Ovis aries: one gene and its partner. The protein of the gene in region 2 purifies or fractionates together with the protein of the main gene of each other region. This does not show direct contact. Links are inferred from orthologs where the notes say so. Each region holds a gene or a part of one and is shown on either strand. Other genes may lie near its edges.

The links. Proteins that work in one complex are often made in the same cells at the same time.
Region 1: the proteins of AGO4 (region 2) and TNRC6A purify together in Homo sapiens (co-immunoprecipitation; 4 studies listed by BioGRID and IntAct, with this or other methods). This does not show direct contact. The link is inferred for Ovis aries from reciprocal best matches to the Homo sapiens genes AGO4 and TNRC6A.

What each region holds. Positions count from the first base shown.
Region 1 is NC_056077.1:22,998,410-23,003,360, forward strand, and holds part of TNRC6A (trinucleotide repeat-containing gene 6A protein), read left to right. Parts: intron 1-79; coding exon 80-208; intron 209-665; coding exon 666-743; intron 744-1,004; coding exon 1,005-1,215; intron 1,216-3,401; exon of another isoform or gene 3,402-4,327; coding exon 4,328-4,459; exon of another isoform or gene 4,460-4,951.
Region 2 is NC_056054.1:10,763,486-10,768,436, forward strand, and holds part of AGO4 (protein argonaute-4), read left to right. Parts: intron 1-2,583; coding exon 2,584-2,704; intron 2,705-4,951.

The DNA of each region.
Region 1 (4,951 bases), on a different chromosome or scaffold from region 2:
AGACTCTCTACTGTGTTTTGTGTATTGCGAGCTTGAGTTTCTTTTATCAACATAGTTAACTCACCATTGTGATCCTCAGGTTCCAGTTTCATTGCTGAAGTATGCACCAAACAACGGTGGCCTGAATCCGCTCTTTGGCCCTCAGCAGGTAGCCATGCTGAACCAGCTATCCCAACTAAACCAGCTTTCTCAGATCTCCCAGTTACAGGTAAGTGGAATAGAATCACAGCCTTACTCAGCGTACGCTCATTGTCTACTGTGAACTCCACACTAGAGTCTGCGCAGAAAGTGTTTTTCAGTAGGCAGAGTGGGCAGAGTCGTGGCCCTCAGGGAGCTTCTAGTCTCTTAAGTGAAGGCAGATGGTAAACTGGAAGGGCAGGATGTGGTGTGAGCAAGCCCAGCCAAGTCTGGAGTGGCCGTGAGAGTAGGATGATTGGGAAACGTTTACCTGATGAAGTGGAAGTTTGGATTGAGCCAAGGACTGAATTCACCAGAATGGCTGGAGGCCAGCGAGTCCAAACAAGAGATGGCACTGGATGAGGCAGGGCGTGATGCATCAACTCGATGGAGCCATGCCTTTGTAGGTCCCTCTGCCGCAGTCACTCTGCAGCACGCTTGTCTGTGATGATGTGATGCTGACGACCTGTTTGCACTTTTCCTTCCAGCGATTGTTAGCGCAGCAGCAAAGGGCGCAGAGTCAGAGAAGCGTGCCTTCTGGGAACCGGCAGCAGCAAGACCAGCAGGTAGATGTGGTCCTTCCCCTTGCTTTGCTCACACTCAACTTAGATCAATTCCATTGTGACAAGGCAGTTGAAATGCCTTTATTAAAATGTAATGGAAAACACTATTAAGTCTTCTGTCTGCCTGGAAGTCTTATTAACTGGTGGACAGTGATTCTTCACCTTCCTGATGAGGAGGAACTGAATTCAAAAATGAAGGGGGGCTCGAAGATATCCGTAAAGACTTATCTCCCCAATTTTCCCCAATCGTTTTGTCTTTTTAAGGGTCGACCTCTTAGTGTGCAGCAGCAGATGATGCAACAGTCTCGTCAGCTTGATCCAAACCTGTTGGTGAAGCAGCAAACTCCGCCATCTCAGCAGCAGTCACTCCATCAGCCAGCCATGAAGTCTTTCCTCGAAAATGTCATGCCCCACACTACACCTGAGCTGCAAAAAGGGCCGTCACCAATAAATGCTTTCAGCAACTTCCCTATAGGTGGGTTTCTCCTTGGCCAAAGCATTGGGCTGGTGCTTGGTGATCACAAGTTGAGCTCTTGCTTTCTGACCTGTCCAGTTTTTCTCTCGTGAGCGCCACGTGGTTCTTTAGCTGCTCCATCTCTGAGTGGCCACACTTCTTCTAGCATTAGCCTCTCTCCTTACTTCAGGAACGTCTCTCTCTGTTCAAGAAAATTACACATTCCACGAAGCCCATGCCCCGTTGGTGCAGTGGTAAGAATCCACCTGCCAGTGCAGGAGATGCAAGAGACGTGGTTCGATCCCTGGGTCAGGAAGATCCCCTGGAGAAGGAAATGGCAGCCCACTTCGGTATTCTTGCCTGGGGAATCCCACGGACAGAGGAGCCTGGTGGGCTGCAGTCCATGGGGTCAGAGAGAGTCAGATGCTCGTTTGAAATGAGTTAACATTACGTATATTTCTTTTTAAGACTCAGATATCTTCATTATAGGGTATGAAGGGGAGGGGAGGACTGAAATTATTATAGCACACCCGAGAAATTTTGAGCTTTGCTGCTTTGTAGAAATAACTTGGAACAGTCACCTCTGAGATTTTAACTATTGTGTAAACGTTTACAGTAAATTACTGGCATAAATGTAACAGGGATGAGAGAAGAAATTGCTTTTATTGCATTTACATTTGCTTCCCCCCAACCCCTCTCTTATGTCTCCAGGTTTTTCGTTCCCTCTGGGAATTTCAGGTTTATTTGTCTTCTTCCTTAGGTCCCTTTTCTTCTTGTGCCTTTGAATATCTTTTGACCTTTGATCATTCGCACCCTGTTTGTTTTCCTATTTCTTTCTCTTTTGTAAACCAGCTTCTTTGGTTACTAGCCCAACTTTGTTGAAGATGTTCAGTTAACTAGCATGTTCTGGGCTGTGGGCGGAGGTTGGGCCTGCTGTTATCCCTGCTCCCATTTCATGTTGGCTGGACCTGATACATAACTCAGCTCTCCCTGGTTTCGTTATGGACTCAGCTAGGACATCGATGGAACTAATGGCACCCCACTCCAGTACTCTTGCCTGGAAAATCCCATGGACGGAGGAGCCTGGTAGGCTGCTGTCCATGGGGTCGCTGAGTCAGACATGACTGACCGACTTCACTTTCCCTTTTCACTTTCATGCATTGGAGAAGGAAATGGCAACCCACTCCAGTGTTCTTACCTGGCAATCCCTGGTGGGCTGCCGTCTATGGCGTTGCACAGAGTCGGACACCACTGAAGTGATTTAGCAGCAGCAGCAGCAATCTTTTTACATTCCTTTGTCTGTTTGGCGAATACCATAGAGGCCATGTCCTCCCAGAGACAGCAGTATGGTGATGAAAGAATACTCGGGTGTACATTGAGAGGTTTTGGTCTCACTAGTGAAAGGAAGTGACTCTCACTGTGTGATTACATACTGAGCATATAGATTGGGCCACTGAGGAGATAAGTTTCTAAATAAGCACTTTCTATCCTGGCCAGCCTCAGAGCAAGAGACTTTCCCCTGATTAGGAAGCCTGCTTTAACTCAGGCAAGCACCAGTGTGGTTGTCTAACTCAGGCACTGGCAAACTACAGTCCATCAGTCAAATTTGTCTAGCTGCCTGATTTTGTAAATAAAATTTTATTGGAACACAGCCATGCCCTTTTGTTAATGTATTTCTTAGCTGCTTTTGTGCTACAACAGAGTTGCATAAAGACACTCAGACCGTGTGACCCACTGAGTCTAAGAGATTTACTGTCTAAACCTTCACCTGAAAAGCTTTCCGCCTACTGAGTCCAGAGGGCAGTAAATTTAATTACTTTTTCCAAATAGGGGTGATATTAGCGAATTTATATTATTAAAGTTTTAAGTTTGACCTAGTATCACATGGACTCTCCACCAGACCCAGTATCTAAAAACCATTTATTTTGAAACTTTAAAGAACCATTTGGATATATTAAACAAAGATTCTGGCTCTTGCTGAAAAGTTTTCTTTCTTTTTTAAAATTTATTTCCTTTTTTTTTTTTTTTGATGGCATATGGAATGTTAGTGTGGATTTCAGCACTGGAAAGATTTAAGCAGAGAAGTAATAGAACCTCACATACTTTTTAAGAACTCATCTTGACTTACTTTTCATTGTATGCCCATTTATATGCTTTTAATTTCTTACCCTGTGCATATTTCAGCTAAAGAAAACATCTGTCATCAATTCTTTTTTTTTTTTTTTTGACTCACTGCATGACTTGTGGTATCTTAGTTCCCAAACTAGGGATTAAACCTGTGCCCTCTGCAGTAGAAGCAGGGAATTGGAAAGTTTTCATTTTTAACGAGCATCTCAGATATTCTGTAGATGATGGTCCCCAGGATCACACTTCAAGAAACACTGGCTTAATGGTCAGTGACTAAGATAGAAATTTCCGTCTTTGTTCCAAGAGAATATCTAAGGCCGATATGTGTGACAAGCAAATCAAGTTGCGCCTTGCGATATAAGCGTCTTGCCCTTAGGTACAGTCCTGCCCTTACAGCAGGACAGTTTTACTTTTAAATAACAGTATCCTTTGGTGGGTAAGGCAGTTGAAAATTGTTGTTTATAAGCAAAAGTTAGCAAATGAACATGATCATTTGTAATTCTTCATGCATGGTACTGTTGGGAAATTTCTAAAGAGATATATTTTAGTAGCTAAACAATTACTTGGCTGCCTGAGAATTTAGTTTTCCACAGTTAATGCAAGTATAGTACTGACAGTTTTGTGGTTTAAAAATGTATATTATGGAGTATTACCTAGCTCTTCAGAATTTCTTTAGGTTTAAAATTTTATATTATTGAGTGTTAGCTAGCTCTTTAGAATTTCTGTGTATTACTTTCTCTGGTACCCTAGCTAGGCTTTTTCTTCTGACGACGTTTCTGCGTGACCTTGGCCAGGAGCCCAGAGTATCTGTCCTGCCTGCCTTGCCTTTGTCTATAATCATTTGGCTGTGCCACATTTGCAGGATATTTATTAAGGAACATTAGACAGGATTGAAAACACTAGATTAACTGCATATGTTTTTCTAGAAAATGAAAGTTGTGGTACCAGAAGGAGGATGCGCTATATTTTTATAAAGTGGTTTTTAAAAATTTTCATCTATTTTTAGGCTTGAACTCAAACTTGAATGTAAATATGGATATGAACAGTATTAAAGAGCCACAGTCAAGACTGAGGAAGTGGACTACAGTGGACAGCATTTCTGTGAACACATCTTTGGATCAAAACTCCAGCAAACATGGTATAAGATACATTCTTATATTCTGACTTTCTAAAACCTGTCAAATACTAAACTTAGGCCTTATTTTTAAATATATATTTTCATAACTAAATTCTCTTAAGAACCTTTCCTCATTATTAAAAAGTGCTTTATTTATTGAATCTTAGTTAAAATAAAAGACCTTTATTTTGCTATTGTGAGAAACAGAGGTCAGAGTACACATTTATTTTTTCACGTATTCCCTCTTTAGATGGTCGTTTAATTTTTTGCTTTTTTACTGTTTTAATGTTCTACTTACCATTTATTCAGTTCAGTCTGATGTAAGGGATTAAAGATTTGCACCATTAAAAGAAAACAAAACTTGATTTCTGATAGTTTCTTATCCATTCATTTAGTAAATGTTAAGGAAATCTTTTCTGCTTTCCAAGAGCTGTGCTCAGCCACCTGGAATAAATAGATTCGGGTGTACATATGTGCATAGAGTTGAGTGTGCAGGTGAAAAGTACTTGCCCT
Region 2 (4,951 bases):
CCCTGGCCCAGGGATCGAACCCAGGTCTCCCACATTGCAGGCAGATTCTTTACCAACTGAGCCACCAGGGAAGCCCCCCTTTAAAAAAACACTTATTTTTATTTATTTATTTGGCTGCACCGGGTCGTAATTGTGGCATGTGAGATCTTCATTGCAGCAGGCTCACTCTTAGTTGTGCAAACTCTTAGTTGTGAACGTGGAATCTAGTTCCCTGATCACGGATTGAACCCAGGCCCCCTGCTTTGGGAACGCTAAGTCTTAGCCACTGGACCACCAGGGAAGTCCCGCAGCCATATAGTCTCGTCCAAAACATCCATCACATATTTGGTCCATGTCAAAAGGTCCCTGAAATTTGGTCCTGTTCAAAACGTCTGTGAACATATTCAGCCCATGCCAGATTTTTGTTTCAGACAGAGCTAAATATCAAGGCCCTCTTGGTGTGGACCAAATGTTTCATGGATGTTTTGGACAGGACCAAATGTCCTGCAAGGAGTAGGCTTATTGCATGACAAGCACTGTTCTAAATAGTCTGTGTGTACTTATTCACTTAATATGATGGTTTTTGTGGTGGGTTTTATGATTGTAAAACCCTACAAATGAAGAAATAGATGTGAGAGAGTAAGTAACTTGTCTAAGGTCGCACAACTCTGCCATTTAATTCTTGTGTGACCAGGGGCAACTTACTTGCCATTCTGAATTTTTATTTTTTTCTCTTTGAGAAAAATTATTGCGCTGCTTGTCTCACAGGTTGTTGTGAAGATTAAGTGAGAATAGAGGTGAAAGTATGTTTTCTTACTGTAAAATTTTATGGTTATATTTTAAGAATGTAAGATAAGAAATTGCCTTCTTAGTCTGAAAATATACTATTCTTAAGTCAACTTTTTATAACTGGGAATGTATGAAACTCTATTTCTCCATCAGTTTTTTGCAATTGCATGACTTAGTTTGAAAACATGTGACTTTCCCACGGATTTCATTTGTGATAGTGTTAATGCCTTAGCTTTTTGTGTGTTGTTGTTTAGTTGCTAAGTTGTGTCAGATTCTTAGTGACCACACAGACTGTAGCCTACCAGGCTCCTCTGTCCGTGGGATGTCCCAGGCGAGAATACTGGAGAGGGTTGCCATTTCCTTCTGCAGGGCATCTTCTCCATCCCAGTGATCTAACCTGTGTCTCTTGCATTGGCAGGTGGGTTCTTTACTGCTAAGCCACTAGGGAAGCCCCAGTGCCTTAGCTATTGTGATTTATTTTGACTTTTAAGATACAGTTCACACACATGGGCTCACCAATGTTGGTGAGACATAGCACCTGATTTTTCATTGACTTTAGCATTCCAGAGTCTCACAGATTCAATTCTATCCATCTTAAACAGTAGATTCTAGTTTCCCCACATTTGCATTCATCTTAGATCCTGCAGACAGTGTGATCTGGTGTATATGACAAAACACTGTTCATGTTTGGTTGAGAGAAAGGCTTTCATTCTAAAAAGAAAGGAACTACACTAGTAATGGAATGGGGATATTTTATGCGAGGAGGAGATTTTATGATGCTCCCTTCTTTATACTACTTGGAAGCAGTTTGGCATATAATACGACATTAGAAGGACTCAAGCTGAAGCTCCACTACTTTGGCCACCTGATGCAAAGAGCCAGCTCATTGGAAAAGACCCTGATGCTGGGAATGATTGAGGGCAGGAGGAGAAGGGGACGACAGAGGATGAGATGGTTGGATGGCATCACCGACTCAATGGACATGAGTTTGAGCAAGCTGCAGGAGATAGAAAAGGACAGGGAAGCCTAGTGTGCTGCAGTCATGGGGTCGCAAAGAGTCGGACATGACTGAGTGACTGAACAACAACGGGGCAGAATAATAAATTACTAGCATTAGTCAAAGGAGTTGCCTTAGTCTGTTGACTATGATGCATCTTAGATTTATTGATCCTCAGATGTCTGCCCACTCTCTTTTCCAAAACCAGTGTACTTGCATAAGGATGCATATTTGATAACAAACTTATAATCGTTCAGTTATGAACATGCCAAATTTAGATACCTAAGATAGGCTACTCTTATAAAGTTCTACTTATCATAAGAGAGGATTTTCGAAAGCAAGAATTTGAGAAGGTGCTGCAAATTTTCTTCTCTTTCCTTTTATTCCCTCCTTTTTTGTTGTCATCCTGTGATTGCTTTTGTTCACTTGCTGTTTTGTTTTGTTTTCTTTGAATTACTTGAATCTGTAACTTTAACTCTTGCTTTTTCCAAAGAATTTTGATCCTCATATTCCAGGCAGAACTGGCCTGGGTCATCTTTTTCTTTTTTTGCTCTGAGCCATTTTTAAACTCTTTATTGACTTTGTTACAGTATTGCTGGCATCTTAGCTCCCCAACTAGGAATCGAACCCATACCCTCTGGGTTGGGTTCTCCAGGAACCCAAGTCTCAAGACTTCTCCAGGAAGTCTTAACTGCTGGACTACCAGGGAGGTCCTCCAAGAAGTTTTGACCTGAATTTAGATAATTAAGTTATAGTGACAGTTTCCTGTTCACCACCATTTCTCAGAGCTAACCTCCACTGTCTCCATTACTGTTAAGGGAGGTAGTAGATACAATGGTGCGGCACTTCAAGATGCAAATATTTGGTGATCGGCAGCCTGGCTATGATGGCAAAAGAAACATGTACACAGCACATCCACTGCCAATTGGACGGGATAGGGTAAGTGTTAACAGCAAGAAACATTTATTAAACTTAGGTCATTTAGTAGTAATTACATAGGGCAAAGATGTTTCCCTTTCTAATGATAATTCAATTCTTAAAGCTATTTCTCATGGTGATGATAGATTTGTTATTCTGTACATATTCTCTTGTTTTTAAATTAATCAATAATTGACTGTTAGAATTTAGGTTGATTATTTCCATAAACTGTGGAAAATTCTTCAAGAGATGGGAATACCAGACCACCTGACCTGCCTCCTGAAAAATCTGTATACAGGTCAAGAAGCAACAGTTAGAACCTAGACATAGAATAACAGACTGGTTCCAAATCGGGAAAGGAGTATGTCAAGGCTGTATATTGTCACCCTACTTATTTAACTTATATGCAGAGTACATCATGAGAAACGCTGGGCTGGAAGAAGCACAAGCTGGAATCAAGATTGCTGGGAGAAATATCAATAACCTCAGATTTGCAGATGACACCACCCTTATGGCAGAAAGCGAAGAAGAACTAAAGAGCCTCTTGATGAAAGTGAAAGAGGAGAGTGAAAAAGTTGGCTTAAAGTTCAACATTCAGAAAACGAAGATCATGGCATCCGGTCCCATCACTCTATGGCAAATAGATGGGGAAACAATGGAAACAATGACAGACTTTGTGTTTTTTTGGGCGGCGTTGAGGTGGGGCGGGTAGGGGGGGCTCCAAAATCACTGCAGATGGTGACTGCAGCCATGAAATTAAAAGATGCTTACTCCTTGGAAGAAACATTATGACCAACCTAGACAGCGTATTAAAAAGCAGAGACATAACTTTGCCGACAAAGGTCCATCTAGTCAAAGCTATGGATTTTCCAGTAGTCATGTATGGATGTGAGAGTTGGACTATAAAGAAATCTGAGTGCCGAAGAATTGATGGTTTTGAACTGTGGTCTTGGAGAAGACTCTTGAGAGTCCCTTGGACTGCAAGGAGATCCAACCAGTCCATCCTAAAGGAAATCAGTCCTGGGTATTCATTGGAAAGACTGATGTTGAAGGTGAAACTCCAATACTTTGGCCACCTGATGCGAAGAACCGACTCATTTGAAAAGACCCTGATGCTGGGAAAGATTGAAGGTGGGAGGAGAAGGGGACGACAGAAGGAGATGGTTGGATGGCATCACCGACTTGATGGACATGAGTTTGAATAAGCTCCTGGAACTGCTAATGGACAGGAAAGCCTGGCGTGCTGCAGTCCGTGGGGTCGCAAAGAGTCAGACACGACTGAGTGACTGAACTGAACTAATTTCATCTTTACACATGTTCCAACTTTCTCACAGTGTGAAAGTGCCACCTGAATCTGAACAGTAGAATTTTTATTACTTGTAAAATATTGTGTAACACTCACTTATGAAAATATTTATAATACCACATAAACTTTTAAGACATTTGCTCTTAAAATTTAAAAGCAATACATAATTATATACTCGTTATAAACTTATTCAGACAATCTGGAAATGTTATGGTTTCCTGCTTCCCCACCTGCTCGCATCCTCAATCCCATTTTCATTTTCAAAGGAAACTACTGTCATAGTCCAGTATGTGTCCTTTCGGGTATTTTTATGTGCGTTAGCTATTTATACATGTTTGTTGTTGTTGTTTAGTCGCTAAGAGGTGTCTCACTCTTTTGCTACCGCAAGGGCTGTAGCCCGCCAGGCTCCTCTGTCCGTGGGATTTCCCAGGCAAGAATACTGGAGTAGGTTGCCATTTCCTTCTCCAGGGGATAGTCCCGGCCAGGGATCAGACCTGTGTTTCCTGCATTGCAGGTGGATTCTTTACCACCGAGCCACCAGGGAAGCCCATTTCTGCATGTTTATATATATTATTATTTGTTTGCGTATTGTTCTGTGATTTATTTTTTCATTTTTCACTTAACAATATATCTGGGCGATCTTTCCATCTCTGTACATTTACACCTATCTATCATACTTAAAAAAATTTTTTTATTGTGGTTAAATAATATAGAACATAAAATTTACTATTTTAAGTGTACAATTCAGTGGCATTAAATATATTCATATTGTTATGCAACCATGACCACTATCCACTCTGGTAACCACTCTTCTACTTCCAGTCTTTATGAATTTTTTCTAGGTACCTCATGTAAGAGGAATCATACAATGTTTGTCATTTTACGTCTGGCTATTTCACATAGCATAATGTTTTTAAGGTTCATCTATGTTATAGCATCTACTTTATTTTTAACTATTACAT